4 linked regions of the Saccharomyces cerevisiae S288C genome follow. The gene in region 1 interacts genetically with each later gene. Each region holds a gene or a part of one and is shown in the gene's direction. Other genes may lie near its edges. The genes, in order: EAF5, SSF1, PAC10 and STB5.

Region 1 (8,251 bases):
TGCTCAGAAAAGTTCTTGAAGCATAGCGAACGTGTAGGGCAGCGTTTCCAAGAACAAAACGCTGCCTTGGGACAAGGCTTGGGCCGATAAGGTGTACTGGCGTATATATATCTAATTATGTATCTCTGGTGTAGCCCATTTTTAGCATGTAAATATAAAGAGAAACCATATCTAATCTAACCAAATCCAAACAAAATTCAATAGTTACTATCGCTTTTTTCTTTCTGTATCGCAAATAAGTGAAAATTAAAAAAGAAAGATTAAATTGGAAGTTGGATATGGGCTGGAACAGCAGCAGTAATCGGTATCGGGTTCGCCACTAATGACGTCCTACGATTGCACTCAACAGACCTTGACGCTCACGCCGTAGCGGGCGACAAGTCAAACGGAACAACCGTTGCCGTTCCCATCGGAGTCCGACCTAGGCCGAACTCCGTGAATTTCTGATAACAACGGTCGGTAAAGACTGGTTCCCCAGTATATTTCTTCTCTCAGGAGCAGGGGCCAATGCCAAAAGCGACATTAACCCGGAGGACAAGGCTCCACTGTGTTCCACCGAATTTCCCACCTGATAATATCTGATAACCCGCCCATAGGTGGGGATCCTTCTGTAAACAGGTTTCTTAATCGTAGGAATTACCACTGTTCCACTGCCAATCGCAGCTCCCAGAGTTTCGTTCCCAGCCGCGAGCACCACAGCGTACCATGTGCGCCACGAGGCCTCAAACGTAAAACAATCGAAACGAAAAGAAACAGACTATAGGGGAGTATAGAGACAGCCGGCCAATAAGAAGAGGAAAAAGAAATACTAGCGTTTATCAATGTGGGTCGTTAACATATCCTGTTGACAATGATTACAGGTTAAAAGGTAGCGTAAGTGAATATTAACTATGGATATTCTTATACTTAGATAAGAGACATATAAAACACACGATGATTGATTGATTTTTATGACCAATATATGTAATTCGTAATTCAGATAGTTTTTATACTTTTAATGTGTGCCGAACCATATTACTAGTATATGTAACTACCATGTTATGTTCAATTGGCAGATCTTTAACTCGGCTTTAGTTATCCAAGTTACTTGCAATATTTCCTTCTGCGAGAGTACATTTGCCCTTAAACGTATACGAGGTATTCATTAATGTGTGTTGTAAGTATTTAGATTGACATCTATAAGAGAGATGAACATATATATATATATATATATATATATACATGCATATTTACTATAAACGCGGTTTATTCTGCCAGGCAAAGGCAATTTGCTTTTGTTCGCCAGGCTCAATGATAACGTTGATGACACTTGTTTCTCTTTTAGTCCGAGAAAGCTGCACGGCTTGTTGGAAGCATCTGCTCAGTTCGCTTATTGTGTTGACAAAAAAATCATTGGCACCCAGTCCTTTGCCTACGAGATCGTAACGGCAGTTCTTGCTTAGTGCCGTTGGAGGTAAATCACCCTCTATATCCTTTTCTCCATGGTAAATACCGCTATTGTTCATCACAACGATGACCAATGCCAGCTGACACCTTACTGCCGTTTCAATTTCCATGGCAGAGAATCCAAATGCGGAATCACCCTGAATCAGCACCACATCGAGTTCCGGATGAGATGCCTTGCATGCAAGAGCATATCCGAGCCCAATCCCCATAGTCGCGTTGGTCCCTGCGTCTAAACGGCGCCTTGGAGCGTCTGTAGGGAATGAAATACGCGCAATATCCATAGTATTTGCTCCCTCCGTCACAAGTATTGTCCTGTAATCATCGATAAGAGGCCTCAATGTTCCATAAACCTGGTTGTAATTCAATTGTGCCCCTCTAGTCTTCTCTTTCCTCAATAGACGAGTTTGATTCAGTTGAATTTTCTCTCGTATTTCTTGCTTAACACCACTATACTTCCAGCAGGAATCTTGGCGAGTCAATTCCTCAACTAAAGCGGTTACGCTCAAGCCTATATCTCCCCATATGGAAAGGTCAGCACCAGGTGAGACATTGTTATCCCCCAAGGTTTCGGGATTGGAATCGAACTGGATGAATATGGATTCTGAGTTCCATTTGGGTGAAGTACCAAAATGCAATATCCAGTTTAATCTTGCCCCGAGAACAAGAACAATATCCGCTATTTTCAATGCTTGAGATCTTGCAGATGAAACGTTCAGTGGAGAAGAGTCTGGGACAATTCCCTTAGCCATTGGGGTGGGTAAAAATGGTAGATTGAACGTATTTACTAGTCTGCGGATTTCGTGTGAGTTTTTTACCGCACCCTTTCCAATAACAATCAGAATATTTTTATTTTTATGTTGCAAAATAAGCTGTACGACTTTTTTGATCTTCGACGGATCAGGGCCACATATGTTTGGAGTTAATATCATCGGTAATTCATTTCCTGTACGGTCGTTTCCTTCTAAGGGTTTTTCATACTCAATAAAATCTGCAGGGACGTCTATGTAAGAAACCCCTGCAGTGCCTTGTATACAGTAATTCAAAGCCTTCTGAGTAATCATGTCAATATTGTCAGGGGTTAACTTTCCGGTAAACTTCAAAAATGGGGACAAAAGACTAACTTGATCCAACTCTTGAAACCCGCCTTTATGTATATCACTTTGAGAAGAACTCCCTGCAATTACTAGAAGAGGCCACCTATTACTCATTGAGTTGTATATACCAGCCAGTGCGTGGATTAAACCGGGGCCCCCGACAATAAGTAACACGCCGGGCTTATCACTAATATAACCATAAGCAGAGGCTGCATATGAGGCAGCCTGTTCGTTCCTGCATGGAATGAATTTGATACCGTTGGCAACCATCGTATCCGCTAGTTGGACAATAGGGATGCCCACAATTCCAAAGACTGTGTCGATGCCATATTTTTGTAAAAGTTGAGCGAAGTGTTGGGTAGCGGTCGTGGTCATATTGATGGATGGTTGTGACGGTTTGAATGTAGAGAGTATATTCTTCTTATCACATAAAAGTAACCAATGCCTTTTTTTTCCTTTATATATAATGTGGTTATATACCAACCTTTTGTAAATTTCCAACTTTTTTCTTTAGTTAGCTTTGCTTGAACTTCGGGCCGAAGGGCTCGGATAAGAGAAACAATAATTTTGTTTTCATAAAACATCGATGGCTTGACTACTTCTTTTATCCTGTTCCTGAGATTCTTTCATCTTGGCGATCTTACACCTTAGTTCCATAATAGGGTCTCTTACAAAATCCCTCATTGAAACGACTTGAGAACACGCTGCTTGCGGGCAATCTCTTGTCGTGTATCCTTGTAAATAGTTTTGAATGCCGTCTCTATCGAAGACGTGATTACATTTTCTTGATATCAATGGTGCTTCGTAAGGTTTGCAGGTGATAGGACAAGTCAATTCAATTTTACCACCTTCTATTTGTAGATCGTCTTCGTCTGCGGGGTTTTGCAGATCCGGTATTACACAAGTTGGATCATTCCATATGTACGGCAACACTTTTAGTATCTTGAGTGTATCTGTGTTATTAACCATGGTTGCAGGCTCTGGTGTGGGCATATTTAGATATAATTCAGATAATTTGGGAGCGGTGAGTTCTCCGGTACGATATTTATCCCAGGTAGAAAGGTCGATTTGCGGACAGGCATCTGAGGATTGTTTGAAATTTTTTTTTAAATCTTTAATATGTTCGTCAAATGAGTTGGATTCCGATTCGTATGTCGAGAGGAGTTTGTAGGTGCTAGTAATATCTGCGACCTGCTCTTCAATGCCGATGGTGGAAGGAGATGTAGAATCCACTAATTGATTTATGGTCTCATCAATTTGTTTGTAGCATTGTTGATATATATTTGATAAGTCTCGGGCATGTAAATTATGGAAGTACTTACCTGATTTTGGGTGTAGAGGAACTGACTTGGGTATAGGATTATCGTTCAAGGCCATTTTTAAAGTTATTCTTTTTTTATATAGTCTTGCCTTGGTTTCTTTAACTGACACGATTATTTTAGCAAGTTTTTTTCTACACAGGAAAAGAGGAAGAAAATAACCAGAGAAGCACTGGTAAAAAGATACTTCTGCGTGCCGGAGTAACCAGAATCAAAGGAACGCATAGATGGATAAAGAGGTAAGTGAATTGGTAGTGTTGCAGCTAATACACACTTTAATTTCCAACAAGAATGAAGAACTGGTTAGGAACGGGGGAGGAATCAACATGATTGGGAATAATCTTCGAATATCGCTAGTCAAGTTGACTAACGAAATACAAAACAATTTGCTAATCAACGAGCTGACAAATTTAAGAAGGCAAAGCAACGTGGCAAATGGAAACAGGAAACTGGGCATCAACGATATCCTGACCATAGTTAAGAATTTATTCCCAGAGTACAGAACAACACTAAACGATGGACAACTTAGTCTACACGGTTTGGAAATGCATGATATCGAGAAGCTCCTTGACGAAAAGTACGATCGATTCAAGAAAACGCAGGTCGAACAAATAAGGATGATGGAGGATGAGATATTGAAGAACGGTATAAAGACCGGTGCATCGCAACTGCAACCACATGCAAATGCTGGCAAAAGTGGATCTGCTGGTACCAGTGCTACTATAACTACGACTACGCCACACATGGCGCATTCAATGGACCCAAAAAGAGAAAAACTATTGAAATTATACAGAGATACCGTTCTGAATAAATTGGAAAGTAAAACTGGGAATTTTCAGAAGCTATTCAAGAGTCCCGATGGTAGCATTATCAAGAATGAGATAAATTACGAAGACATAAAGAACGAAACGCCCGGCAGCGTTCATGAACTGCAGCTGATTCTTCAAAAGAGCATAACGGACGGTGTAATGCGAAAGGTCATTGGTACGGACGACTGGAAATTGGCTAGACAAGTGCAGTTTGAATTGGATGATACGGTGCAGTTCATGAGAAGAGCACTAGAGTAAGGAGATAGTAGGCGACACTTCGAAAATCTAAAGTCTTGTAACATTACTATTATATACTATTTTATTAAAAAAATACACACACAATTCTTTAACAGAACAATATATAACAAATGAAGCGACATGTTTCTCAAAAAAAAACATAGTAGGTAGGTAAAAATGGGAAAGAACGGGACAAACAAAACGAAGAGCAGGGTGTATTTGCCCACACACGGCAAACAACATCCATTCACGCCCGCATGCCCAAAACTTTTTTGCGATAAAACGCCCACGCAAATCACATCGTTCCAACAGAGGAATCGAACAGCACAGATACAAAGTAGGAATATAGCACACACACAGGAAAAATTAATTAATTATTAGAAATTAAAAGGGTTGGGGAGAAAAGAGGTCTAATTTATTCATTAATATTCAGTAATTGAAAAAAAAAAAAAAAAGAGGATAACTAAGAGAAAACAACATCAAGCTCGTTTGGCTTGCTAGTGATCGCTTAGAATCTTTGTAAACCTCTTTGTCTAGCTTGCCATTTTCTGTAGATAATGGTAGAAATGATGGCGATACAAGCCAAACCGACTAGAATAAAAACTAAGATAACACCACCTGGTAACGTGCTCATCAACATCTTTGTATAATTGTTATTGTACTATTTATTGTTTTGTATGTATACGATGGAGAAAAAGAGAAAGGAAGAAGGAAGGACGAAAGAGAAAAAACTGGAAGGGAAGAAGAATTGATTTTATATTAACCAAGAGGAAGGAAAGGAAATTGAGTTGTGATTACGGAATTTTAGTTTTTTTCACTGTTTATTTAAACCAAAAGGTGTGGAAGAGAAAGAGAGAAAAAAGTTCTGTAATTCGTTAAGGAAATTAAGTATCCGCGCCGGAAAAATAGCGAGAGGTTTTTTTTGATGCAAAAGCTAGGGAGGGCTGCGGACGGATTTCGAAAACAGCTCAACAGCGTGGTGACGAGTTGCGTCAGGGTGTTGGCCAGTGCTACCGCGGGCGGCGCTGCACAGGGAGTAAGCAGAGCGGGCTAGAGCGCGGTTTTGGAGAGGGCCCGGGCTGCTGTGGTCGTAGGATTGCGGTAATTTAGTGGCTCGCCCTCGTTTGTCGTGCTTTTTCCGAGTTCCGAAACTCTTTCCCGAGCTGTTAATGTGCTAAAAGTGGTAAATCGTATATGATGATATACGTATATGATGATAATTTCCTGCGCGCTACTTGCGTGCATTCGTCACTCATAACAAAAAGAACTACACAATACGTAAACAACGTGCGAAAATATCTATATACAAGGGGAGAAAACAAAAGTGAAAGTGCATTACAGCCCATCACAGATCATTATAATACAATATGCCGACCAAGTCAACTTTTAGTCGCTGGAAGAAGGCGGACCTAATTGACCTGGCCAACAAGCTGGAAATTGACGGCTTCCCCAATTATGCCAAGAAGAGTGATATGATCGATTACCTCGAATCGCACTTGAATCATCTTGAGAAACCTGTGGATTTTAAAGACGACTACCCGGAACTAAGGTCCTTTTATGAGTCGATGACAGTGGACCAGTCAAAGGATGAACGGAACGAATACGGATCCGGATCTGGAAACGGGTCTGGGTCTGGATCCTGTGACACCGCCACAAATGATTCCGATCTGGAGAAAGCGTACATCAAGGAGGATGATGATGAGAAACCGCAATCAGGCGATGAAACAAGCGCGACAAAGCCGCTTTCCAGCAGGAATGCAAATTCAAACGCCAAAACGAACTTCAATTTGTTGGATTTTAGCACAGATAACGACTCGTCCACCTCTGCGTTTACTAAGTTCAAGTTTAACTTTCAGGAATACCTCTCCGATATTAGATACCAAACGCAGAAATTGAATGAAAATGTTCAGGACTATCTTTCCACTATTTCCGCCGTCGATACGATTTTTTCCTTGTTGGAATTCTCTTTTCTGGTGAGAAACATATTAGCCGCCGGGCAGCCAACTTCTTCTTCTTCGCTCGCATCGTCGCTGGAAGCCGCCGTTGCCGCCCATAATAAATATCAATACACGCTCGATTTCTGTTTACCAATACTCACGTGGCTGCTCTTCTTTAGGGGTATTCCAACGTTAGTGTCATACTACATCAACTTCATCCGCTACGACCTGAACATCGAGTTGGACCCGATGACTTTCAATCTCACGAAATTCTTGATTTCTTTGGCAATCTTCAAAACTTGTAATAATAAAAACATAGATTTCCATTCTTTTCGATGTGTTAACCAACTATGGACACAACTCTGTACAGTGAACCGTTCCCTTGGTATGGTACCTCTAGTATTCTCCATGGTTAGTTGTCTCCTCACTCTATACGTATTATAGTATATTTTCTTACATACGTATACACACGCGTACGTAAGCCGCGAAGTGTGTATTTACTACTCTGTATTATTGTAATAAACTCTTCTCCTTCTTTGTCTTTTCTTCTCCCAAAAGCGCACTTGCCTTGATCAGCATATTGTATACTTCGATGTTTTCAAATGGAGGTACGACTTCATTGTTGAACATCGGACCCATTCCAATGAATATAGATGCCATATCACTACAGTTGTTAAAGTTGTATCCATGTGTGCCCATAATGCCGATAGGCACATCACCCATTTCTTTTACAATGGCGTAGTATTCATCTGCGAGAATCCAGATATCGCCGACCCTATCGTCATATCTGTGCTTTCTGTTATCGTATTGGAAATATTTCCAGCTCGGGTCGAAATCTTCTTTCAGGATCACGTGAAACTTCCTCGATATTTCATCTCCATATGCTTTCTCTAACTGAGCTTCAATCAAGTCACAAATCCATTGCTTGTCTCGAGGGTTTTTCAAACATACCATCATCATGGGGCCCTCGTTATAAAGATGCGAAATAAATGCGCTCATTGCGTCGGCCGGGAACACCCTTTCCCACACAACAACATGCTCACCGTCATTCGCGTTGACATTGCTCATGCCATGGTCACTAACAATCATAACATTGCTAATTTTCAACAAGTTTCTTTTTTGCAGGCCTTCAATCAAATCGAGAAAGAATCCATCGACTTCACCGATCAGCTTTTGTAGCCGCTTATCTCGTAAATCGTATCCAAAACTGTGTCCGTACGAATCAACATTGGGTATATAACTTATGACCAATTCTGGCCTATCTTTAAGCTGAGGCATATCTATGTATCGGAAAATTTGAGCTAATTTATCTTGAAGTTTTTCCCATTGATTGAATTTCCCAAAATAAAATGGCATTCTTTCCCTAGGTACATCCCCGTGGTCCTCATACACAACCTCACTTCCAGGCC
Region 2 (7,260 bases), on another chromosome or scaffold:
CCATCACATTCGACGAAGAAAAAGAGCTAAAATATGAATACTTCGTAAATAGTTACTTATTTTGCACATCTTTTACCGCTCCCATTACGCGGAATGAGTTATGAATGGCTCGAGAAACAAATAGGAAACGAATAAGAAATGATAGGCAATTTTATGTGATATTGATAGATGTATATATGAACATATAGATAAATATTTCTAAGTTAAATTGAACTTTTGGGCGTTAAAAGGTAAACCATGCTTACAAAGCCTACCTTTCTCCCATGTCCATATTCTCTCTTGTCATCATTCTTCCTCTTCTTCCCTTACCTCTGGCAATCTTCTCCTTGTTTCTTCTGTTCATTTCCATTACAACTTCCCCATTAGCCTTATCGACGGAATCTCTTAGGGTCAATATAATGTTCTTGTCCACACTTTCCTTCGGTAGTTTTTTACCTAAAACTTCTTCAATTCTTAAGATCAATTCCAGATCGTATTGTGATACTAGTGAGATAGATTTTCCTGATCTACCAGCTCTTGCGGTTCTTCCCACACGATGAATGTAGGACTTGGAATCCACAGGAATATCGTAGTTTACAACTATGTCCACTGATGGAATATCCAACCCTCTCGCAGCGACATCTGTAGCCACGAGAATAGACCTCTTACCTGCCTTGAAAAGATCCAAAGATCCCATTCTCTGGTTTTGATTCAAATCACCATGTAGCGCAGTGGCACTAAACTCGAGCAAATTACATAATCCTGACAACCTTTCCGCGTTGGCCTTGGTTCTTGTAAAAATGATCATCGTCTTTCCAATAAATTCATTTAATAAATAAATTAGGTATGTGTTCTTAAGACCACCTGGAACGACCATCAGTGTTTGCACTAATGTATCTACGGTTTGGTATTTGTTTGACACGGCACATTTCACAGGATTTGTCAAACTTGCTCTTTGTAATTTATCAATTTTGGAAGTCATAGTAGCGGAAAAAAGATAAGTGGTTCTTTCTTGGGTTGGGATGATCTTTAAAATTCTATCAAGAACAGGTCCAAATTCCATGTCTAATAATCTATCAGCTTCATCCATAACCAAGAATTTCAGTTTCCTCAGTGAAAACCCTTTGGTATTCTCTAAATGGTCCATTAATCTACCAGGTGTAGCAATGATAATATGTGGCTTTCTCATCAGGTCTCTGGCCTGGTCCATCATATTCATACCACCCACAATACATGTCGATCTCACGCCCATTAAGGATCCTAATGAGTCAAATGTTTCTTTGATCTGTTGTGCTAATTCTCTTGTTGGAGCTAGAATGCACGCATAGTATGGTTCCTGATCATGCCATAACCGATTCAAAATGGGAATAGCAAATGCAGCAGTTTTACCAGAACCTGTTTGCGCAAGTCCAATTATATCGTGACCTTCTAACGCGGGAGGAATTGCCTTAGATTGAATGGGAGTGGGTTTGGAATAATTTAAGTTCTTACAAGCTTGAATTAATTCGGGGACCAGATTCAGTTCGCTAAAGGATTCAAAAGATTCATCTTCATTAGTATTTTCATTTTGGGTTGATACTGTGGATTTGCTTTTTGATTTCAAAACCTTTTTCTTTTCAGCAGTAGCATCTTCTTCAGAATCGGACTCTGAACCACCTTCCTTTTCTGCTTCTATAAGCTTCTTTTGATTTTCCAAAGCTTTTGCTCTAATCTTTTCTGCTAAAGAAGTTAATTCATCGTTAGCCTTCTTTTCCTTTCTCTTAACAATTTTGGACATTTTTATAGCTGATTCAGTGAAGTACTTAACAGAATCTTGGTATATATTGCTTCTAAGATATGTCACAATTCTGTGTATACCATGTACAATTGCTAAATGCTCATTGATTAATTTTAAATTTTTCATTTTTATCGCCTTAGACGAAATTGAAATTTTTCACTGAAAAAAAAAAAAAAAAAAAAGTAGACGAAGAAGCTCATCTCATCGCGATATTAGTTCGATATCTGGGTTTGAGTGAGTAGTATGTTTAATAATAAAAGAGTATAATCCAGATATAGCAGACAATAAAATTTCAAGATGGCCAAGAGAAGACAAAAGAAAAGAACACATGCACAGCTTACACCTGAGCAGGAACAAGGTATACCTAAGTCAATGGTAATCAGAGTGGGTCAAACTTCTTTGGCCAACCATTCTCTGAACCAATTAGTAAAGGACTTCCGCCAAATCATGCAACCACATACGGCTATAAAATTGAAAGAGCGCAAGTCCAATAAACTGAAGGATTTCGTTGTTATGTGTGGCCCATTAGGTGTTACGCATCTTTTTATGTTCACTCAATCTGAAAAAACAGGAAATGTCTCCCTAAAGATAGCTAGAACTCCGCAAGGTCCTACTGTTACTTTTCAAGTATTGGACTATTCTCTGGGTAGAGATATCAAAAAATTTTTGAAGAGACCTAAATCGTTGAATAATGATGATGTATTAAATCCTCCATTGCTAGTGCTAAACGGGTTTTCCACATCCAAAAGATCTGGTGAAGACGACCAGGATGTAAACGTGGAGAAGGTCATTGTTTCTATGTTTCAGAATATTTTCCCACCTCTGAATCCTGCGAGAACTTCTTTGAATTCTATCAAACGTGTATTTATGATCAATAAAGACAGGGAAACAGGGGAAATTTCTATGCGCCACTATTTTATTGACATTCGAGAAGTAGAGATCTCTAGAAACCTAAAAAGGCTTTATAAAGCCAAAAATAATCTAAGTAAAACAGTGCCGAATTTGCATCGAAAAGAAGATATTTCTTCTTTGATATTAGATCACGACTTAGGCGCCTATACATCAGAATCTGAAATTGAAGATGACGCTATCGTGAGAGTAGTTGATAATCAGGACGTGAAGGCAAAGCATTCTCAAAGTTTGAAGTCCCAAAGAACACCGGTCGAAAAGAAGGATAATAAAGAGCGTGAAAAAGAAACAGAAGAAGAAGATGTGGAAATGGAGGAACCTAAGCCTTCAGAAAACTTGCAACCAACCCCACGTAAGAAAGCTATCAAACTAACTGAATTAGGACCAAGATTAACTTTAAAACTGGTCAAGATAGAAGAAGGTATTTGTTCAGGTAAAGTGTTACATCATGAATTTGTTCAAAAATCAAGCGAAGAAATCAAAGCTTTAGAAAAGAGACACGCTGCAAAAATGAGGCTGAAGGAACAAAGAAAGAAGGAACAAGAAGAAAACATTGCTAAAAAGAAGGCTGTTAAAGACGCTAAAAAGCAACGTAAATTGGAAAGAAGAAAAGCTAGAGCAGCAGAAGGAGGTGAAGGTCAAGGAAAAGATGATGCGATGAGCGATGATGAGTCTTCATCAAGTGACAGCGAACATTATGGTAGCGTACCAGAGGATCTAGATAGTGACTTATTTAGTGAGGTCGAATAAATTGTTCTCCGGTACCAAGAAAATTTTAGTTAAGCCTGGCTATCCACCAACGCACGTATACTTCTTCACTTTAGATAAATTGCATACTTGATACATATAAACTCTTTGTCTTTTAAATCATAGCCCAAAGGAAACGTAGATCTCAGAAGGCATGTGAAAAAAAATTCGATCTTACCTTTTTTACGCCATTTTAAGCTACTGTTTCGATACATGAGCGTGGCTGGTACATTGAAGGTGGGCAATCGTCCACTTATCTAAAGACAGCTTATCAGCATGAAATCCAAAACGTGGATTTTCAGGGATGTCTTATCTAGTCACCGAACCAAAGCGTTTGATAGTTTACTTTGTAGGAGACTCCCTGTATCAAAGGCAACGAAGCATCTTCAACTGGGAGAACATTTCCTGTTCTTCCCACCATCATTCGAAAAATTGGATAGAGATGGTTATTTTAACTATCAAAATCCTGCAAGTTTGCTAGGAAACCCTGATTTACGCTACCGTAGAAGGATTTGGGGACAAGGAGAGCTTGTTCAGTATTTACCAGTCACCTTAGACCAGGAGTATACATGCCACGAATCAATCAAATACGTAAAAAAAATACGAGATGAACATGTTGTCTGTATTGAAAGAACCCTTTTACAAGAAAGGCCCGAAAATGTGTCGAGTCCAATGGACATTTGCTTATTCGAGAGAAGGGTATTAATGTACACCAATTCACCCGCAAACAAGACTGCAGTCAAGATGCCCGTAGGAGAGGAGAACTATAAGATCTTAAAAAATTTTACTGTTACTGATATGGATATTGTAGCTTATGGTCAGATGTCTTTGAATCCGCACCGAATTCATTGGGACAAAGAGTACAGTCGCTATGTTGAAGGCTACGACGATATTATCATGCAAGGACCCTTCTCGGTCCAATTACTACAGAAATGCATCCAACCTTTTCTCGAACAACCAATCAGACAGTTGCGATACCGCAATTTGAATTATATATATCCAAACACTACTTTGAGCATATGTCAGTCTTTAAGCTCTTCGAGCGGAATGTACACATTTCAAATTAGGGACCTCCAGAAAGCCAACTTAGTCTACATGAAAGCTGATGTTTTCTGTTGACTACCAGTAATTGTCTCTCTGCAGATAATCACTACCTGTGTGTTTCTTGTCTCTTGAAATAATACTAGTAGCTGCTGAACAGTGGAAGGTCACGAACGAGATTACCATAATATCTCGCCATCACCAGGTTGACGGTAAACGCATTACGGGAAGAACTGAAAAAAAGGTGGGAAAAAAAAATAAAAAGTAAAGTGAAAAATTAAATGTAATGTATATTTCCATTTTGACGCAAAGTACTTCCCTCTATCAGTTTTGTATCTAACTGCAGAGTAAAGTCGTGTTTTGCTTAGTTAACTTATATACAAGTCAAAGCAAAAAAGATGTCCGATATCAACGAAAAACTCCCAGAGTTACTACAAGACGCTGTCTTGAAAGCATCTGTTCCTATTCCAGATGACTTCGTTAAGGTTCAAGGTATTGATTACTCAAAGCCTGAAGCCACTAATATGAGAGCAACTGATTTAATTGAAGCTATGAAGACCATGGGTTTCCAAGCTAGTTCTGTTGGTACTGCCTGTGAGATTATTGATAGTATGAGATCATGGAGAGGTAAGCATATTGACGAATTGGATGACCATGAAAAGAAAGGTTGCTTCGATGAGGAAGGGTACCAAAAGACTACTATCTTCATGGGTTATACTTCTAACTTGATCAGTTCCGGTGTACGTGAAACTTTACGTTATTTGGTGCAACACAAAATGGTTGATGCTGTCGTTACTTCTGCTGGTGGTGTGGAAGAAGATTTGATCAAATGTCTTGCTCCAACTTACTTGGGTGAATTTGCTTTGAAAGGTAAATCTTTGCGTGACCAAGGTATGAATCGTATTGGTAACTTGCTTGTTCCAAATGATAACTACTGTAAGTTTGAAGAATGGATTGTCCCAATTTTGGATAAGATGTTGGAAGAACAAGATGAATACGTAAAGAAACATGGCGCTGACTGTTTAGAGGCTAACCAAGACGTGGATTCACCAATCTGGACCCCATCTAAGATGATAGATCGTTTTGGTAAGGAAATCAACGACGAATCCTCCGTATTGTACTGGGCCCACAAGAATAAAATTCCAATCTTTTGTCCATCTTTGACTGATGGTTCAATCGGTGACATGTTGTTTTTCCATACTTTTAAAGCATCTCCAAAACAACTAAGAGTTGACATTGTAGGAGATATCCGCAAAATCAATTCAATGTCCATGGCCGCTTACAGAGCCGGTATGATCATCTTGGGTGGTGGTTTGATCAAGCACCACATTGCCAATGCTTGTTTGATGAGAAATGGTGCTGATTATGCCGTTTACATTAACACTGGTCAAGAATACGATGGTTCTGATGCAGGTGCAAGACCTGACGAAGCTGTGTCTTGGGGTAAGATCAAGGCTGAAGCCAAATCCGTCAAACTTTTTGCTGATGTCACCACTGTTCTTCCATTGATTGTTGCTGCTACCTTTGCCAGTGGTAAACCAATCAAAAAAGTTAAGAATTGATGAGAGAATTTTGAGATGAAAAAAAAAAAAATGAATCTGTACTATTTCTTTTTTTAGTGCAAAAGTTTTGTTTTAATATAGAGATAAATAAAAAAATGAACATATTACTATAATATCAACAAAATATGATGTAATGTCTGCAATAAAGATGAGTCAATTGCATTTCTATACGTACTAATCGTGTGTACATAGCCATGACATTATGTAAGTTTATACACATAAATTGCGTTGGAGTCTGCTGTGTAGTTTATAAATGTGTAAACAGCGGCTTTTGTATTCCTATTAGTTGCCGTTACCTCTCATTTTTTCGGCGGTAAGAATGTCACTGCCTATGGATTCCATTACATTTTTCTCAATCAGTTCACCTACGTTTGAATAAACCATACTAGCTTCGTAAGCACTTACTATACGTTGTTGAGTAATGCCTATTTCACAGAACGCTAACGCTTTGATCACGTTCGCATACCGGCAAATTGCTTGTCGTATGTTGTTCGATATGGAAGGATCGTTTTCATCCGAATATATTTGCCATGAAGACTCTTCTTCCAGTCTTGTTATGGAGGGATTTAATGATACCGCACCAGTGGGTCCAGTTGATTTAATTGAGGAACTGTTATTTGCAGACGGCGTATCCCTCGCTAAGTCCATCTGAGATGTTTTCCTTAACCATATGTAACCATTGACTCCGAGAACTACGGTTATGTTGCCGGGCAAATTATGAGTATGGTTCTTGGCTCTCACTATTAATGAACTCGGGACTTGGCAAAACATCCCGTTTCTTAACTTCCCGTACTTTAGAGACCTTGTATGTAAAGAGGCACTACCATCTTGAAATAATGATTGAACTTCTGCATTCAGGAGGTCACCTTCCTTAAGGAAGCTTCTCATTTGTAGTTCATCACTTTCAGATTTTCTTCTTAGAATACCACCCGGTAAATTCACAGAGCCCAACATAAGTACTGCATGTTGCTTACCGCCAATGTCTACTTTCCATCTCTTGTTACCCACTTCAGCAATTCTCCCTACGACGTGATCACCAGTTTCTGGGGCATAACGACCTTTCAATGGAATTACCGATAGCAGCCTATTGACACGGGATACAGTACCAGCAACAGAGGAATACGTCATATTATCAAGAAAATACGTACCGTGACCTCTCATCCAGATAGGGTCATCAGTGACCAGCTCACCTGGCGTCACAATTTGAGAATCAGACTCACTTTTAGAAGCTGAGTTAACATCGTG
Region 3 (7,717 bases), on another chromosome or scaffold:
GTCCAAATAGTAAAAGATATAGATCTTATAATGACATATTTTTCAAATCCTACAAAAACAAGTTACCCTAACACTGTATAAAAAGAATCTATTTATTGTACTGTTAATAGTACTGTTATTACAACATGAATTCACCGATACCAAAACCAGCTGATAACGTCTGGCAAACACCACTCTTTCTTCTTATGGCCCTCTTCAACAGCTTATCTCTTTTAGACAAGGGTTTCCACTTTTTAGAAATTGCAGAGGATGAGCGCAGGGAATTCTTCAAAAACTTCCTTTTTTTCAAGGTGAACTTGCCCTCATTGTCTCTGTAGCACAATAACTTGATATTGTAGTCCAAATTATCAAGAAGGGAGGAAGATGGTGATGAAGATGGGGAGGGTTCCATGGCTTCAGCACTGTTGATATCATCTTTGATGAAGTCCTCTATTCCCAATGTGTCGTTCGAACTCGTGGTGGCGTCGCCTGGATGCAGAGCCACGAGGGAGCATTTTCTTTGTCTTGTCTCCTGCAGGCAAATGGCCTCTTCTGCAGTGCCATTTACTTCCTTCCAGAAGTCCGTATTATTTGCGTCACTCTTGCTATTGTCGCCGAAAAAGAATGATTGCTGTATCTGTGGTAGAAAGATACTGCTCTCGCTGCTATCGTGGAAATTATTCTTGTTGTGATTTTCCTCCATGGGTAGTTCATTGTCCGCACTGTAACTAAATGTGCTGTTGGTGAAGGAAGGCTGGTGGCATGGGGAGAAGAGAGGATCAGGCTCAGAACTATAGCCGAGCGTACTTTCGAGGTCGTCATCATCGTCATCATCGTGTAAATCTCCGTTTTGGGTGCCATCGTCCTCGGTGGCGTTCTCAGATAGTGAACCGGCAGTATCTATCGAACGAGCAGTGGTGATGATGATTGGGGTGGCCTCGACTGCACTGGCTGTGGTGTTTTTACCATCTGCTGTCCCGCGAGTGTCCGCTTTCTTTGTGTGCGATCTGGACAAGGGAGTAATATCCTCCTTGGTGATGACCTTATTCGGTACCTGAAATGCCTTGCTGCTTTTATTCATTGCTACGTAAACTATGCTATATGATACAAGTGAACGCTCGTCGAGGGAATAACTGCTGCGTGTGCGTGAACGAGTAAATGAATGAATGAATGAGTTAACACATGAAAACGAAGATAATCGCAAAACGACAATGAACAAATAAACACATCCCTCATTTGCGGCACTGCTCATCTCATCTCATCCTTTATATTAGGAGGCAACGAGCTTTCTCGCTCACCAAAAAGAAACGTGCGAAAAAAACCGAAAAATAAAAAAAAAAAAAAAAAAAAAAAAGAAACGCGCTGCAGGAACGTGACTTCCAAAAAAGGAAGGTGCCGTTCCAATATGGAAACCGCAGGCACTCATGATTGTGCAGGACGGGTAACACATGATTTGTTTCGTTTCTTCGATCATTTTGCAGAACTGGTCAGAAAAGAAAGTGAAAAAATCTAGTTTAACACTATTGTAGAGGCTATAAATTGTAGACAACATTTACTGCAGAAAACTGTACGCACATATATAACAGATACTACGGTTATTATGGACACACTGTTCAACTCCACGGAAAAGAATGCCAGAGGCATACCGCAGGCTCCATTCATCGAAAATGTCAACGAAATAATTAAGGACCCAAGCGACTTCGAATTGTGCTTCAATAAGTTCCAAGAACGGCTTTCTAAGTACAAATTTATGCAGGAATCTAAATTGGCTACGATAAAGCAGCTGAAGACTAGAATCCCGGACTTGGAAAACACATTAAAAATATGCCAAAGTCTGCGCAATCACAGCGACGAGGGCGATGAGAGCGATGAACCTATCCTGTTGCACTACCAATTGAACGACACGCTCTACACAAAGGCTCAGGTTGATATACCGGAAGATCGGGCGGATTTGAAAGTTGGGTTGTGGCTTGGCGCAGACGTGATGCTGGAATATCCCATCGACGAGGCCATAGAGTTGTTAAAGAAGAAACTCGCGGATTCCGAACAGTCTTTAACGGTGTCCACCGAGGACGTAGAGTTTTTGAGGGAAAATATCACGACAATGGAGGTCAATTGCGCGCGATTGTATAACTGGGACGTTCAGAGAAGGCAAGACTTGAAGCAGGCTCAAGAAGGGACTAAAAACCTCAAGATATAATGTGTCTGTAAATTTAAATCCAAAGAAAAATAAAGGGCACTACATAGAACAACACAATCAACCTACATAGCTCTCTTTTTTTTTTTTTTTTTTTTTTTCTTTTTTGTTTTTTCTCAATTTTCTTCATTTTTTGCATTGTTACTACTCTCCCATTAAGGGAAATTCTACCAGGAAAACCGAAGAAGACAAATGCAAAAGGGAAATATGAATACGCATGTATGCGCGCAAAACCGCACTTACAGAGGGCATTAGGACATTATGTTTGATCATGACGTCGAATATCTGATCACTGCACTCTCTTCCGAAACGAGGATCCAGTATGATCAACGCCTGCTAGACGAAATCGCGGCCAATGTGGTATACTACGTCCCAAGAGTCAAATCCCCCGACACTTTGTATCGCTTGGTCGGAGCACTTTTCCGATCGCAGTTCATTGTCCAATTACCACCACTACGCCTTTTGCACATCGTCAAAGATGTTTTCCTTTGGAAACTGGAAGTTTCTGAGCCCACGCTCCCAATTTCGAAGTTTTACTTGGTTTGGAATGCTGTTTTCGAATCTCACCGAGCCACGTGGAACCTTTCACAGTTGATGGTTTTGGATGGTGTACTAGTCACATACCCGAGCTTCAAACAATTGAACAACGCCTATTTTATTGATGAATCCAGCAACAAAACTGCGCTTTATTACAGAAACTGGAAATTACAACTGTTTTCACCAATATGGGCGCAGCTATGGAATACTGCCATTGTCAGGGCTAATTTATCGATTCAGCATTGCCTTCTGATAGCATTAGCTTTACTTTTTAATCAGTCAAACCGAAGCGCCCTTTTGCATGGAGTTGACGTATCATGGAATTTGGTCACAGAGAAACTATTGGACCTTTTGGAAGAGTATGTACACGGCATTGTGCAGCCGATGGAAATTTTTTCGACTGATTCAGTCTTATCAACCAACTTGAATCATTTGGCCAGTTGCTTGACCAGTTCAATCACGAGGTCAAATGAGGCAACTTTGGTAAATTCAGTACGCAAACTAGAAAGGATATGTCGATACTTGTCCGATACTGTGGCTTCGTTGAAAGAACAACAACTAGATTTCAAGTTCCAAAATGTATTTATCCTGATAATCCTCGCGTTAAAAGAATTATCCGCCATGAATATGACAATACTGCCTAACCATAAAGACACTTTTTATTCTATGATCTGTTTAAGCCTTTTCCACGTCCACGTATTGACTCAAAAAATCGGGACAGTCGGTTTTCCCAGTTACGATTATGTTTACGATAATTTAGTAACGTATTTCATTGTCATGGATGACTTGTCTAAAATCACTACAGTTTTGGAACTAATGAAAAGAAACAACACCAAACAAGATCCAAATAAATTAGTGTTTTACATCAATTTTCTAAACAAAATTACTAATTACTATGGGTGTCGCATTCGTTTGCCGTTTATTACTGAGTTTATCGAACCTTTACTGCATTTCGATGTATTTTTTAGCGGGAAGACGGGCAATACCTTGGATATTGAAATCAAAGAATCTATACACACATTGACAATCACTGTACTGTCTATAGACTCCTCTTATTCCTCACAGGTTGCACAATGGCAAGTATCCCGCATACTCGTCTATTTAAAGATGTCGATGGACCAATTTATTGCAGGTAAATTGTCCGCAAATCAAATTTTACTTATATTCGGCCATCTATCCACACAACTTCCCTCACTACATAATTATAACAAGCATTTGCTTAGGGACTCTTTGCACGAGACGTATATCAGAATTGTTAATGTAAAAAACCCAGAAAAGAAGAATGTATTGATTGAATGTCTGATTGTACAAATAGCCTTTATCAACAATCCTCATCATTTGATCGGCTGGTTGAACATCTGTCTCCAGCTAATCAATACACATAACAAAAAGCTACTTCAACAATTGTGGGAAATGGTTTCGAGTCTAGAATCCTCCCTAGCCATCGACTGGTGGTACACAACGGTCTTATCAAGTCAATCTTCTAAATTATAGTATCATTAAGTACTTTATAGTAGCGCCTTTTTATATTCCTTTTTTCTCAAACAAAAAAAAAAAATGACTGGGATACAAGTGAAAGTGGAAGAGCAAGTGAAATACGAAATAAAGTGAACCATTTATACAGAATAGGAAAACCAACTAGTGCATTAAACTAAACTCCATGTCATACAAACAGTATTTTGATAGTTTGCCTTTGAAATTGAAGTCCTTTTTCCAAAGATACCCCCCTTCAATCAAGTATTCTCCAGTGTCTACATCTACTAAAGCCATTAATGCCAATCCTTTCCTGCCAAATAAACATCCGGTCACACAACGATTTCATGATCCGAAATATTCACTTAGAAGAATGAGTGACGTATATAAGTTGGCACTGCGTTATGGAGTAGAAGAGTTTTTACCACCGATCGAAAACACTAAGAAACTTTTCTTCGAGGAGAAATACAATAAAAAGACCCTCATGAAAGGTGTTCTCTTGCCCAAGGGTCATAAGCATGAATTGAAATTAAACGAAAAGCTAAAAAAACGTGAAGAAGCTTTAAAGAAGGTAGATGAGTTGATTGCTTCCAAGAAGGGTTCGAAGTATGCCAAGAGAGTAGAAAAAATGAAAAAAAACCAAAGTATAGGCTGGTTCTGAAGAATAAGAGAGAAGATAACTATAGTTTAGAATAGTAAACCCTATGTGTACTGTTTTATGTTTTTAATGTCTAATCATGTAAATAATTTTGTGATATCAATAACGAACGTTCTGAACAAGAATTATGATAAAAAAAAGTAAAATCTAAAGCCATTACAACGCTATATTTTCAGTGGCAGTAAAAACGCAAGAACAAAAACAAAACGTGGGTAAAGAACAAGGACTACAATGGCTGTCAATGAATTTCAAGTGGAGTCTAACATCTCTCCAAAACAACTGAATAACCAGTCAGTGTCACTTGTTATTCCTCGGTTGACAAGAGATAAAATTCATAATTCAATGTACTATAAAGTAAATCTAAGCAACGAATCTTTGAGAGGCAATACAATGGTAGAGCTTTTGAAAGTTATGATTGGCGCATTTGGTACCATAAAAGGTCAAAATGGTCATTTACACATGATGGTTCTCGGTGGCATTGAGTTTAAATGCATCTTAATGAAGTTAATCGAAATCAGACCGAATTTCCAGCAGTTGAACTTCTTATTGAATGTAAAAAATGAGAACGGTTTTGACTCGAAATATATTATTGCTTTGCTTCTGGTTTATGCGCGGTTACAGTATTATTATTTGAATGGCAATAACAAAAACGATGATGATGAAAATGATTTGATAAAGTTATTTAAAGTACAATTATACAAATATTCACAGCATTATTTCAAACTAAAAAGTTTCCCACTACAAGTAGACTGCTTTGCTCACTCCTATAACGAAGAACTTTGTATAATACACATTGATGAATTAGTCGATTGGTTGGCCACACAGGACCATATCTGGGGTATTCCATTAGGGAAATGTCAATGGAATAAAATATACAACTCTGATGAAGAGAGTAGTTCTAGCGAAAGCGAAAGTAATGGTGACAGTGAAGATGACAACGACACCAGCAGCGAATCATAGACCTCTTCTTGGCCTTTTATTCGCTGGTGCACCAAAATCGCGCCTTCTCTTTTTGCTGGGGTCATTTGCAATTTGACCCGATCTTCTTAGGGAATTAAGTTGCTTTTGGTCAACCAAAAGTGAATCCAGGTTCAAGGAATCAGGTAAGATTATCTGTCTTATGGTATTGCCTCTAATGTTTATGTATTGCAAACTTGCTATGTTGTCACTTGCAGTAGGTTGCTGTCCTCCAGTCAAGTACAGACTAGCCATCGCAATACCATTACTGTTCAATTTATTTAGTCGGGGTTGTGGTAGGGTCAACTTCACGTCAGTTAAGATAGCATTCATTTGTGGTGATACCGACTGCAGTGTACCCCAAACGGTGGTACCGTTTTTTAGTTCTATGGTAACCTGCTCATTGCGCAGCTTTTTTAAAAAGTTAACCAACTTCATAATCTTTTTCTCGACGATTTATAAACGATACTTGGAGTCATCTTTCTTCATGACAATTTCATTGTATATGAACATTTCATATATTTTATTATTTTAAATATTCATTGAAAAATCATTAAATACGAAACTCAGAATTTATAATGGGGAATACTTTATGTAATAATATAATCATAAAATATATAATTCTTATTATTTTATTATAAATGTATTCCATATATAATATATAAGAAGCCATGAGCTTTTACTACTTCTTGGTATCATCACGATGCAAAATTTTTACCCGTGGTACGAAAAGGTTTTCTTTAGGTTGGAACGACGGCTGGGTTTGAGCGGATGATGACTGAGGCTGAGAGGAGTTTGATATTTTTAACTTCTCTTGCAAAAGCATTTTCTTCTTCCTTTGTTTCAAAACCTCTTTACCCGCTTCCTCAATAATAACCACATTACTGTTCTTGGTCTTAGAAATGGTGCTTTTTTCACGATTTTCACGCTTCTTCTTGCCTCTGTTCCGTTTTTTCTTTGGTATCTTAGCGGATGCTTCCTCTTCTTTGAATTTCTTTTTGGCGTTTTTATTTTTCTTCTTTTTGTTCTTATTCTTGACCTTATCACCAGTTCCAACCAGCTCTGTTAACACCCTTTCTGTTCTTTCTGCTATTTTATTTTCTAACTCTATGCTTTTTGAGAATTCTTTTTCTAAAGATTTCAATACGCTAAAATCTTGGAATGAGTACTCGTCATTTTCATTCAGCTGTTTCATTGAATTCATAAATGTTTTAAAAATTTCGTCTTCTTCAATTGTTCCTACTAGCGCGGCATCCTTTTTTGATGTTTGAGTGAATTTCTTTACGTAGGGCGACAGTTTCATATCTGGAATTGTAATATTATCCTTATTATCAATGAATTTACAAGTTTTAATGAAATTTGCGCATTTTTCCAAGTCTGATAAGTTGTCGAACAAGAAATTGCACCGAGAATATGTCGAGTTTTTGAATACTTTACTAGAATAATGACCTTCAAAAAAACACCAGTCACTGTACTTGAGTTTACCCTGGATATCTTGCTTATCACCATCATCGTTATTATTATCTCGTAAGATGGCAAAAAATTCATCTGCAGTCAAATTTGGAGGTAGCAATCTAATAACAAGCTTAAATCCTTCATTCTCGGTTGATTTACCCAATCTAGCCTTTCTTTTATAGTTATAATACTCTCTGTTCCTTTTCTTGTTATTCCTTCTGCCTTTGCTATTGTTGTGGGTAGCATTAGTAGCATTATTAACCTTATTCTCATTCTTTTTAGGATCTACCGTCTCATTCTTACTTTTTCCTCTGTTCTTGTTATGATACCTATTTCCCCTGCCTTTCTTTTTCCCCTCACTATTCTTCAATTCCCCAGCCACATTGCTCATGATAGATTACTATATATTTCAGCAGAAATGTAAGTCCCTCAGTAGGTTTTCCTTTCCTCTTTGCTGATAT
Region 4 (9,432 bases), on another chromosome or scaffold:
TTTTATAAGTTACTTTTTCAAAGACTCGTGCTGTCTATTGCATAATGCACTGGAAGGGGAAAAAAAAGGTGCACACGCGTGGCTTTTTCTTGAATTTGCAGTTTGAAAAATAACTACATGGATGATAAGAAAACATGGAGTACAGTCACTTTGAGAACCTTCAATCAGCTGGTAACGTCTTCGTTAATTGGATACTCAAAAAAGATGGATAGCATGAATCACAAGATGGAAGGAAATGCGGGCCACGACCACAGTGATATGCATATGGGAGATGGAGATGATACCTGTTCGATGAATATGCTATTTTCGTGGTCATACAAGAATACGTGTGTCGTCTTTGAATGGTGGCATATCAAGACCCTGCCTGGACTGATTTTAAGTTGTTTAGCAATTTTTGGTCTAGCCTACCTCTATGAGTACTTAAAGTACTGTGTCCATAAGAGACAATTATCCCAGAGAGTATTGTTACCAAATAGATCTCTGACCAAGATCAACCAAGCCGACAAAGTGTCCAATAGTATTCTATATGGTTTGCAAGTGGGATTCTCATTCATGCTCATGCTTGTATTCATGACTTATAATGGTTGGTTAATGTTAGCTGTCGTGTGTGGGGCAATATGGGGTAATTACAGCTGGTGTACTTCGTATAGTCCTGAGATAGATGACAGCTCCCTCGCCTGCCATTAAGATGGTGACAAATATTACAAATTTGATACTATTTGTATCTATTTTGTTTTTATCCGGGATTTTTCGTATTTCTTCCTCATTCATACCCTTCCCTTTATTTGTTCCCACTGAGTATAATGATAAACTACGTTAACATTACATGTATAATATTTAGCACTCGTACGTTACTAGTCTTTGACACAAGTTTATATATCCCCCCCTTTATGTTATCGTTTATTGGCTACAGCCTCAGTAATCAAAATAGTCCACTATTTCTATATCATTAACTTCTGCGTCGCCAAGATGTTAATCATGAAACGATCTAGTTCTTCAACAGTTTGCCAGCGACCATTCGAGCTAATCTTGAACAAAAGTAATACTATTTAAGGGTGGGCGCGGGTTGTTATACCGTTTTGAGACGATCTACTATAACGTTATATTTAATTATATAAGTGATGAATTTAATGTCCCGTCCACAACACGAAATCGCACCTCATTTCAACGCGGCAAGTATTAATGTTCTGCTTTATGAAAGATTCCATGAACCCTTTTCTACCTTTTAAATTCCTCTTTTCACTCTTAATCACATGATATTACCTTTACATAGGAAGCGCCAGACATCTTTTTGCCGAGAAAAGCCATTATGCAAGATAATCCTGTAGCCTCATATCAAGGATAAATGCCACTGCAAAAACGCAGTCGTTATTTGGGACTGTATTTAAATGGGCCACTGTTTTTATACAAGTCGAAAATACAATAATACAGAAAATTCAAGCAGGAAGCGAGAAATAACAAGAAGTAACTAGGCATGACAGTGAATGACAAAAAAAGATTGGCAATCATAGGTGGGGGGCCAGGAGGGTTGGCAGCTGCAAGAGTTTTCTCGCAAAGTCTTCCAAATTTTGAAATAGAAATATTTGTAAAGGATTACGATATTGGCGGTGTCTGGCATTATCCAGAACAAAAAAGTGATGGGAGGGTCATGTATGACCATTTGGAAACCAATATATCAAAGAAGTTAATGCAGTTTAGCGGCTTTCCCTTCGAGGAAAACGTCCCTTTATATCCGTCTCGAAGAAACATTTGGGAATACTTGAAAGCCTATTACAAAACGTTCATTGCCAACAAAGATGCTATCAGCATCCATTTCAGCACCGAAGTTACCTACTTAAAGAAGAAGAACTCTCAATGGGAGATAACATCTAAAGACGAACTAAGGACTACTAAATCGGATTTTGACTTCGTTATTGTTGCGTCTGGTCACTACAGTGTCCCTAAACTACCAACTAATATCGCAGGTCTCGATCTATGGTTCGACAATAAGGGCGCCTTTCATTCTAAGGATTTCAAAAACTGCGAGTTTGCCCGTGAAAAAGTCGTTATTGTGGTGGGAAACGGCAGTTCCGGCCAAGATATTGCCAACCAACTAACTACCGTTGCAAAGAAAGTATATAATAGTATAAAAGAGCCTGCGAGCAATCAACTGAAGGCCAAGTTAATCGAGACTGTCCAAACAATAGACAGTGCCGATTGGAAAAATCGTTCAGTTACTTTATCTGATGGAAGAGTACTTCAGAATATAGACTACATTATTTTCGCCACAGGCTATTATTACAGCTTTCCATTTATAGAGCCCTCCGTTAGACTGGAAGTGCTAGGTGAGGGTGTTACTGGCGACAAGCACTCGTCTGTCAATCTGCACAATTTGTGGGAGCACATGATCTATGTAAAAGATCCTACGCTGTCCTTTATCTTGACCCCGCAGTTGGTCATCCCGTTCCCGTTGTCGGAACTACAGGCGGCTATTATGGTCGAAGTATTCTGTAAAAGCTTACCGATAACTACAACTTTCGACTCTAATGCCTGCGGAACGCACAACTTCCCAAAGGGAAAGGACCTGGAATACTATGCAGAACTACAGGAACTACTGAATAGCATTCCACGTAGGGTCGGTCATTTCGAACCAGTTGTATGGGATGATAGACTGATCGATCTAAGAAACAGTAGTTATACAGACAAAGAAGAAAGAAATGTGCTTCTAGCGGAACACGCACAAGCCCTAAAGAAAAAAAAAGCACCATACTTCCTTCCGGCGCCACATACTTAACGTAAAAAGGAATGTACTTGTATAGAAAAAACACATATTGTGCCGCTTAATATTTCGTTTCCCTCATGTATATACCTTATCGCTGTTAAAATAAGAAATCTTCACTTCTGCTATCTTTTTTTTTCAAACATTGATTAATAATCCGGCCGTCCGCAGATTGCTTACGCAGAATATACCGTACCGCCACCGTAAAATTAACGAATACTTAAATTTCCGCCTCTTCCGTTTCGGCAATAGCGAACCTTAATGTAAGTTTTTAAAAGGCAGCGCCAAAAATTGCTCTGAAAGGCCTGCAGTGCTTCGCGGCTACGCAGTTCCCATGTAAAAAAAAAAGAAAACTTTCTTTTTGAATCTGGAAAATCCGCACAGGCGCGCCAGCATAAACCTCAGTATCCTGCAAAGGCCATCCTTTTAAAGATCTTAACAACGTATGAATCTGAGGCAGAGAGAAATTAAGCGATAAACGTTCCTTTTAGACTTTCACTTTCTTGGCCGTCATTTAAAAAAAAATTATCTAATAATCTCTAATTTTAAGTTGAAATCACGCTAACATATGACTATGACTATTAACCTTTTTATGTGGAAAAAAAAGGAAGAATATGTTGTAAACGTATTTTAGCCTTGTTCCCGGAACTTTAATCACTCTGGCAACTTTTTAAGTAGTCTGTCTTTTTCTCGGTCGTATATTCCTCAAAATTCAAGAGGAAAGAGGAAGTGAAGAAGAAAGCCTAGAAAAAAAAAATAGGCATTAACACAAAAACGCACCTAAGGGACTGAGGAAAATCAAAAAAATGATAATTGCAGTTAGTAAATCTTCATAATCGACGCCCACTTATTCTTTCTTTATAGTACCGGGTAGGCGGGTAATTCATACGTAGCTGCTGCGGGAGAACTACTATGTATCATTCCCTGTTTATTTGTATGAATTATTATTTAATACGTACATTCTTGTAAGCCCTTCTTCAACAAAACAAACAAATAAAGCGAGAAAAAAGGGAACCACGAATTAAGATAATTAATCAAACAATAGATAGGAAAAGGAGATCGACGAGTAAGCGTAAGAATGATGGATATCAGCCCTACCTGTTATGGGTACATCGACGACGAGCAAGATCTAGCCCTTGTTTTCCAGGGCGTATTCAATGGAAATTTGAGATGCATCGAACGGAGGCCATATGATGCAGAAAAGGTTGAATTAGTCAACCCCGGAAACATTTTTGTTTTCAACGAAGAGAAATCCGGCATCAAAAGATGGACAGATGGTTTTTCTTGGTCTCCTTCAAGAATTTCAGGCAAATTTCTCGTATATAGAGAGTATAATAGGCTGGGTTCCACGCACGATCTACCGCTGCATAATGTACCTGAGTATAATATCTTCGAGAGGGCTCATAGGAAGTATTTTTATACTGGACTACTGAAAAAAACATTTTCTCTAAAATTCAATATGGATCCCACCGACAGCACTAAGCTGGAAACATTTCATCTTATTGCGTACTATACGGAAAAGGATATTCATCAAGGAAGTTTGAGGAGACCTTCAGAAAATCCTTTCTTCCATAAATTTCGACCTTCACAGAAACTATTAGATGCTTTACAAAAAGTTGCTGTAGGAAATGGCAGATCTAACCCGTCTAAAAATAATGAGAGAGGCAGAACCAAAGCTCATAATTATAAAACGCGCAGGTCTTTATCATCTTCTCCGAGCTATTGTGATCTCTTGAGCAATTATAACAACCATCCTGGAAATATTCCAGTTAGGACCGCAGTTCAGTTACCTTTAACCACCTTCAATAACGCTCCTCGAGAAATGCACCAACAGCAGCACCGACAACAGCAACAATATCTCTTACCCATAGATGAACAGAATAAATTACCTCTCCCGTATATGCAGCACCAGCCACAACCAATTGGTGTTTACAATCCTAACTATCAGCCTGGATTGAGACGTACGGTCTCACAACCTATGATTTTCTGCAATACATACAATACTCTCCCGCAACAACCTACTGCAGCACCTTATGAACGGCGTGGCGTGTCGCCTTCAGTGATATACTCCTCCAATACATTGAGCCCAATACCATACCAAAATATCGATCCATACTCTTCGAGGTCGGGTCCTGAATGCAATCACTCTAAGGCGCCTATCGCCCCAACAATGATGCCCCCAGTACACCATATACTTGTGCATGATTACCGACAACCAAAACCAGTCACAGATTCTATTAATCCTCCAAATGTAAACATAACCACCTCCACAACCAACAAGAACCTAGATGGCATTTATATTTTGCCAGCTCCTCGTATGAATCCCCCGGCTCAAACACAATACCAAATGATTCATGCGCCAGACAGCATGCAACATCCACCAACATTTAGTAAAAACAACACATCAAGCAATCCTAAATCCCACCAATACTCAAAGTAGAAGATCAGCATCCTTTCAATTGCTGAAAGGTTCACCTAAAGTACCGCTCATATTCCAAAAGGATTCTTCACTACATAGAAAGGGCAGCCAATTGTGTGTTTTTCAGAAAGGGTTTTAAAAAAACAGGAGGGTGCTTGTTCTTGTTGTTCCCTACCATCGATGGATTTCGAAAAACTATTTATAGGACCATCTGATTTTCACCTCCATCATTGTATCATATACTAACAAGCATATCCAAATTTGTAATTCTATCATGAAATTTCCAGAGAAAGAAACGCAAGGGAACTGAGAAATCAAACCTAAAAACGGTTCTTGGCATTGTTATGAAAAATGAATAAACCAGGGGGGCAAAACAATCGAGAACCCCAATCAAAACCATGTGAGATACCCACTTCGAAAGTTACTGATATTATAACTCTTGTGTCCTCTCTTCTAATACCTTACTTTCACCTTTCTCACGTAGTTAAAGTTGCAACAACACATTTTGTCCTCATCCAATTTCTTCTATAGAATATCCGTTTGCCTCCAGGAGTGAAGAAATGATAGCAGTAACACTGTGAAAGCGAGACTAAGAGAAACGACTTAAAGCTCGAAGACTTCTTGAGGATACGTTTATGTTTCTGTGGCTTCTTCTTCGCGGCGCGGTTCTCGCGTATAGGAATGTTCTAAGACAAGAAGGCATGAAGTTATGTTAACAGATTCTATATCTACTCGCTACGCATATATAAACGGATTCATCATTGAAACAATGGTACTTGTGGTAATGTGTACGACGATTTCAACCCGAATAAAAGCAAAAGTGCAAAAAAAAAACAAGAAGCGCTTAGCACTGTTGAATCATTTAGAACACTACTAATGCTGGTAATACACTCAAGAATGAAGAGTGGCTTACTCCATTGTTGATGCAAAAGTTGTAAATTTCACGAATTATTTAATGCGTTCCTTGCAACCTTCTATTTTGATGAACATCAGGAATTGAAACAAAAAAAAGGCTTCAATCTCAACGGAAAACGGGAAGAAAACTACACTCGATTATACTATATATGCCAAGAAGATTCTCCGACAGATTGTCTACTTAATTTCACATAATATATCTTGTTTTACTAGCTTATTATATAGCGTCGCATTTAATTCATGGCGCCATCACCCGCAGGGAATATAACGACAAGGCCGATACCACGGGAAAAATAGGGCGAGCGGAAATACTAAAAGAAAAATAAGCTTCCGAAATAAAACACCGACAATGAAGTTCTTGGCAAGGTTCGGTTATTTCCTCTACGTAACAAGAGGTATAATATCCGAGCGTACAGGGCTAAAAAATTAATACAAAGGTGTAAAAGAAGGACATGGATGGTCCCAATTTTGCACATCAAGGCGGGAGATCACAACGTACTACTGAATTGTATTCGTGCGCACGATGCAGAAAATTAAAGAAGAAGTGTGGTAAACAAATACCGACATGTGCAAACTGCGATAAAAATGGGGCACACTGTTCATATCCAGGTAGAGCCCCAAGACGTACCAAGAAGGAGTTAGCGGATGCTATGCTACGAGGGGAATATGTTCCAGTGAAAAGGAACAAGAAGGTAGGAAAAAGCCCATTGAGCACTAAGAGCATGCCAAACTCTTCTAGTCCGCTATCCGCAAATGGCGCTATAACTCCCGGGTTTTCGCCTTACGAAAACGATGATGCACATAAGATGAAACAGCTAAAACCGTCAGATCCAATAAATCTTGTCATGGGGGCAAGTCCAAATTCTAGCGAAGGTGTCTCATCGCTAATTTCGGTGCTAACATCGCTGAATGATAATTCTAATCCTTCTTCGCACTTATCCTCTAATGAAAATTCCATGATTCCTTCCCGATCATTGCCAGCTTCCGTGCAGCAAAGTTCGACAACTTCATCATTCGGAGGATATAACACGCCTTCACCACTAATTAGCAGTCATGTGCCTGCGAACGCCCAAGCCGTACCGCTACAAAACAACAATCGCAATACTAGCAACGGGGATAACGGCAGTAATGTTAACCACGATAATAACAATGGCAGTACCAACACACCGCAATTGAGTCTTACCCCATATGCAAACAATTCAGCCCCCAATGGGAAATTCGATTCTGTGCCGGTTGATGCATCCTCGATCGAATTTGAAACTATGTCCTGTTGCTTTAAAGGTGGTAGAACAACATCGTGGGTCAGAGAGGATGGCTCGTTCAAGTCAATTGATAGATCCTTACTGGACAGGTTCATTGCCGCATACTTCAAACACAATCACCGTCTATTTCCCATGATTGATAAAATAGCATTCCTAAATGACGCCGCGACAATTACTGATTTCGAAAGGTTATATGACAACAAAAACTACCCTGACAGCTTTGTTTTCAAAGTATACATGATCATGGCTATTGGTTGTACAACTTTACAGCGTGCTGGTATGGTTTCTCAGGACGAAGAGTGTCTGAGTGAACATTTGGCTTTTTTGGCCATGAAAAAATTTCGTAGTGTTATAATTTTACAAGATATCGAAACTGTACGATGCCTATTGTTGTTGGGTATTTATTCGTTTTTTGAGCCAAAGGGCTCCTCGTCATGGACAATTAGTGGTATCATCATGCGATTGACCATAGGATTAGGTTTAAATAGAGAGTTAACTGCCAAAAAACTCAAGAGCATGTCTGCTTTAGAAGCAGAGGCAAGATATAGAGTGTTTTGGAGTGCTTACTGCTTTGAAAGGCTAGTATGCACCTCGTTGGGCCGTATATCCGGGATCGACGACGAAGACATCACTGTGCCACTACCGAGGGCGTTGTATGTGGATGAAAGAGACGATTTAGAGATGACCAAGTTGATGATATCATTAAGGAAAATGGGCGGTCGCATTTATAAACAAGTCCACTCTGTAAGTGCAGGGCGACAAAAGTTAACCATCGAACAAAAGCAGGAAATCATAAGTGGATTACGCAAGGAGCTAGACGAAATTTATTCTCGAGAATCAGAAAGAAGGAAACTGAAAAAATCTCAAATGGATCAGGTGGAGAGGGAGAACAATTCTACTACAAATGTAATATCCTTCCATAGTTCTGAGATTTGGCTAGCAATGAGATACTCCCAGTTGCAAATCTTACTATACAGACCATCTGCATTGATGCCAAAACCGCCCATTGACTCACTATCCACTCTAGGAGAGTTTTGCTTGCAAGCCTGGAAACATACTTATACACTGTACAAGAAGCGGTTATTACCCTTGAACTGGATAACCCTTTTCAGAACATTAACCATTTGTAACACTATCTTATACTGTCTTTGCCAGTGGAGCATCGACCTCATTGAAAGTAAAATCGAAATTCAACAGTGTGTGGAAATACTAAGACATTTCGGTGAAAGATGGATTTTTGCTATGAGATGCGCGGATGTTTTCCAAAACATTAGCAACACAATTCTCGATATTAGTTTAAGCCATGGTAAAGTTCCTAATATGGACCAATTAACAAGAGAGTTATTTGGCGCCAGCGATTCATATCAAGACATATTAGACGAAAACAATGTTGACGTCTCTTGGGTTGATAAACTTGTATGACATATGTTCACCGAGTTTTGTCATGTCGTCATACTATACGGCAGCGGCTTGTTGCTGCCGTTTAATGAAACAGTTTTTTTCACGACAAGATTCTTCTATTGATTATTCACATATGTATTTTAATGAAAAATGAGTACTTTATAACACAACCCTAATGACAAATGAAAAAGTTGATTGCCATGAACTCTTAAAGCGATTTATGAGAACAATTAATTGATTATATATATATATCTTTGCAATTATGTCGTTTGTTGCAAGATGCTTCTGAAAGTAAGTAACTCTATAAGATAGATAATGCTACAAGACGCCAAACGCAAGTGAGTAAGAAATAAGAGCTGGCAGGTCTTCGCCGGAACACTATCATCAAAATCACTACAATTTAGCGGCTTAGCACAATACGCGTTTTCAACTTCCTACGCTAGCGATGACAAAATGTCTCCAAGAGGCGGAACTTGCGACGGATGCATGGAAATATCTTACGTAATGAACTTCCGTAATGAACTTCCGTAATTCAAGATCTCTTAGCATCTCTTGTTCAATCTTCAGACTCTACTAAGTGTTCTTACCAACCATTGGATGCTCATTACAAATGAATGAATATATTGCACGGAACGGAAGCGGCATGCTTTTTCCGTCTCGTGTGCTTAGTAAAGCAA

What was found.
Region 2: mutations in EAF5 (region 1) and SSF1 together harm fitness more than expected from each alone (negative genetic interaction), as found in Saccharomyces cerevisiae (4 studies listed by BioGRID).
Region 3: mutations in EAF5 (region 1) and PAC10 together harm fitness more than expected from each alone (negative genetic interaction), as found in Saccharomyces cerevisiae (3 studies listed by BioGRID, with this or other methods).
Region 4: mutations in EAF5 (region 1) and STB5 together harm fitness more than expected from each alone (negative genetic interaction), as found in Saccharomyces cerevisiae (4 studies listed by BioGRID).

Annotation. Positions count from the first base shown.
Region 1 is NC_001137.3:117,385-125,635, forward strand, and holds EAF5 (Eaf5p), read left to right. Parts: upstream 1-4,086; coding exon 4,087-4,926; downstream 4,927-8,251. Other genes in the region: protein transporter TIM9, read left to right, coding at 1-90; PXP1 (putative indolepyruvate decarboxylase family protein), read right to left, coding at 1,233-2,915; SUMO ligase MMS21, read right to left, coding at 3,114-3,917; PMP2 (proteolipid ATPase), read right to left, coding at 5,414-5,545; GTT3 (Gtt3p), read left to right, coding at 6,273-7,286; nucleotide diphosphatase/phosphodiesterase NPP2, read right to left, coding at 7,353-8,251. UniProt on the Saccharomyces cerevisiae protein: Component of the NuA4 histone acetyltransferase complex which is involved in transcriptional activation of selected genes principally by acetylation of nucleosomal histone H4 and H2A. The NuA4 complex is also involved in DNA repair.
Region 2 is NC_001140.6:227,282-234,541, forward strand, and holds SSF1 (rRNA-binding ribosome biosynthesis protein), read left to right. Parts: upstream 1-2,053; coding exon 2,054-3,415; downstream 3,416-7,260. Other genes in the region: RNA-dependent ATPase RRP3, read right to left, coding at 251-1,756; hydroxyacyl-thioester dehydratase HTD2, read left to right, coding at 3,689-4,531; DYS1 (deoxyhypusine synthase), read left to right, coding at 4,852-6,015; exosome non-catalytic core subunit RRP4, read right to left, coding at 6,298-7,260. UniProt on the Saccharomyces cerevisiae protein: Required for biogenesis of the 60S ribosomal subunit.
Region 3 is NC_001139.9:634,234-641,950, reverse strand, and holds PAC10 (tubulin-binding prefolding complex subunit PAC10), read left to right. Parts: upstream 1-1,579; coding exon 1,580-2,179; downstream 2,180-7,717. Other genes in the region: YGR079W (uncharacterized protein), read right to left, coding at 119-1,231; PEX8 (Pex8p), read left to right, coding at 2,438-4,207; mitochondrial 54S ribosomal protein mL59 MRPL25, read left to right, coding at 4,374-4,847; U4/U6-U5 snRNP complex subunit PRP38, read left to right, coding at 5,076-5,804; mRNA splicing protein SMD1, read right to left, coding at 5,799-6,239; UPF3 (Upf3p), read right to left, coding at 6,484-7,647. UniProt on the Saccharomyces cerevisiae protein: Binds specifically to cytosolic chaperonin (c-CPN) and transfers target proteins to it. Binds to nascent polypeptide chain and promotes folding in an environment in which there are many competing pathways for nonnative proteins.
Region 4 is NC_001140.6:452,755-462,186, forward strand, and holds STB5 (Stb5p), read left to right. Parts: upstream 1-6,544; coding exon 6,545-8,776; downstream 8,777-9,432. Other genes in the region: CTR2 (low-affinity Cu transporter), read left to right, coding at 118-687; YHR175W-A (uncharacterized protein), read left to right, coding at 804-953; FMO1 (N,N-dimethylaniline monooxygenase), read left to right, coding at 1,475-2,773; ROF1 (Rof1p), read left to right, coding at 3,837-5,198. UniProt on the Saccharomyces cerevisiae protein: Binds to SIN3.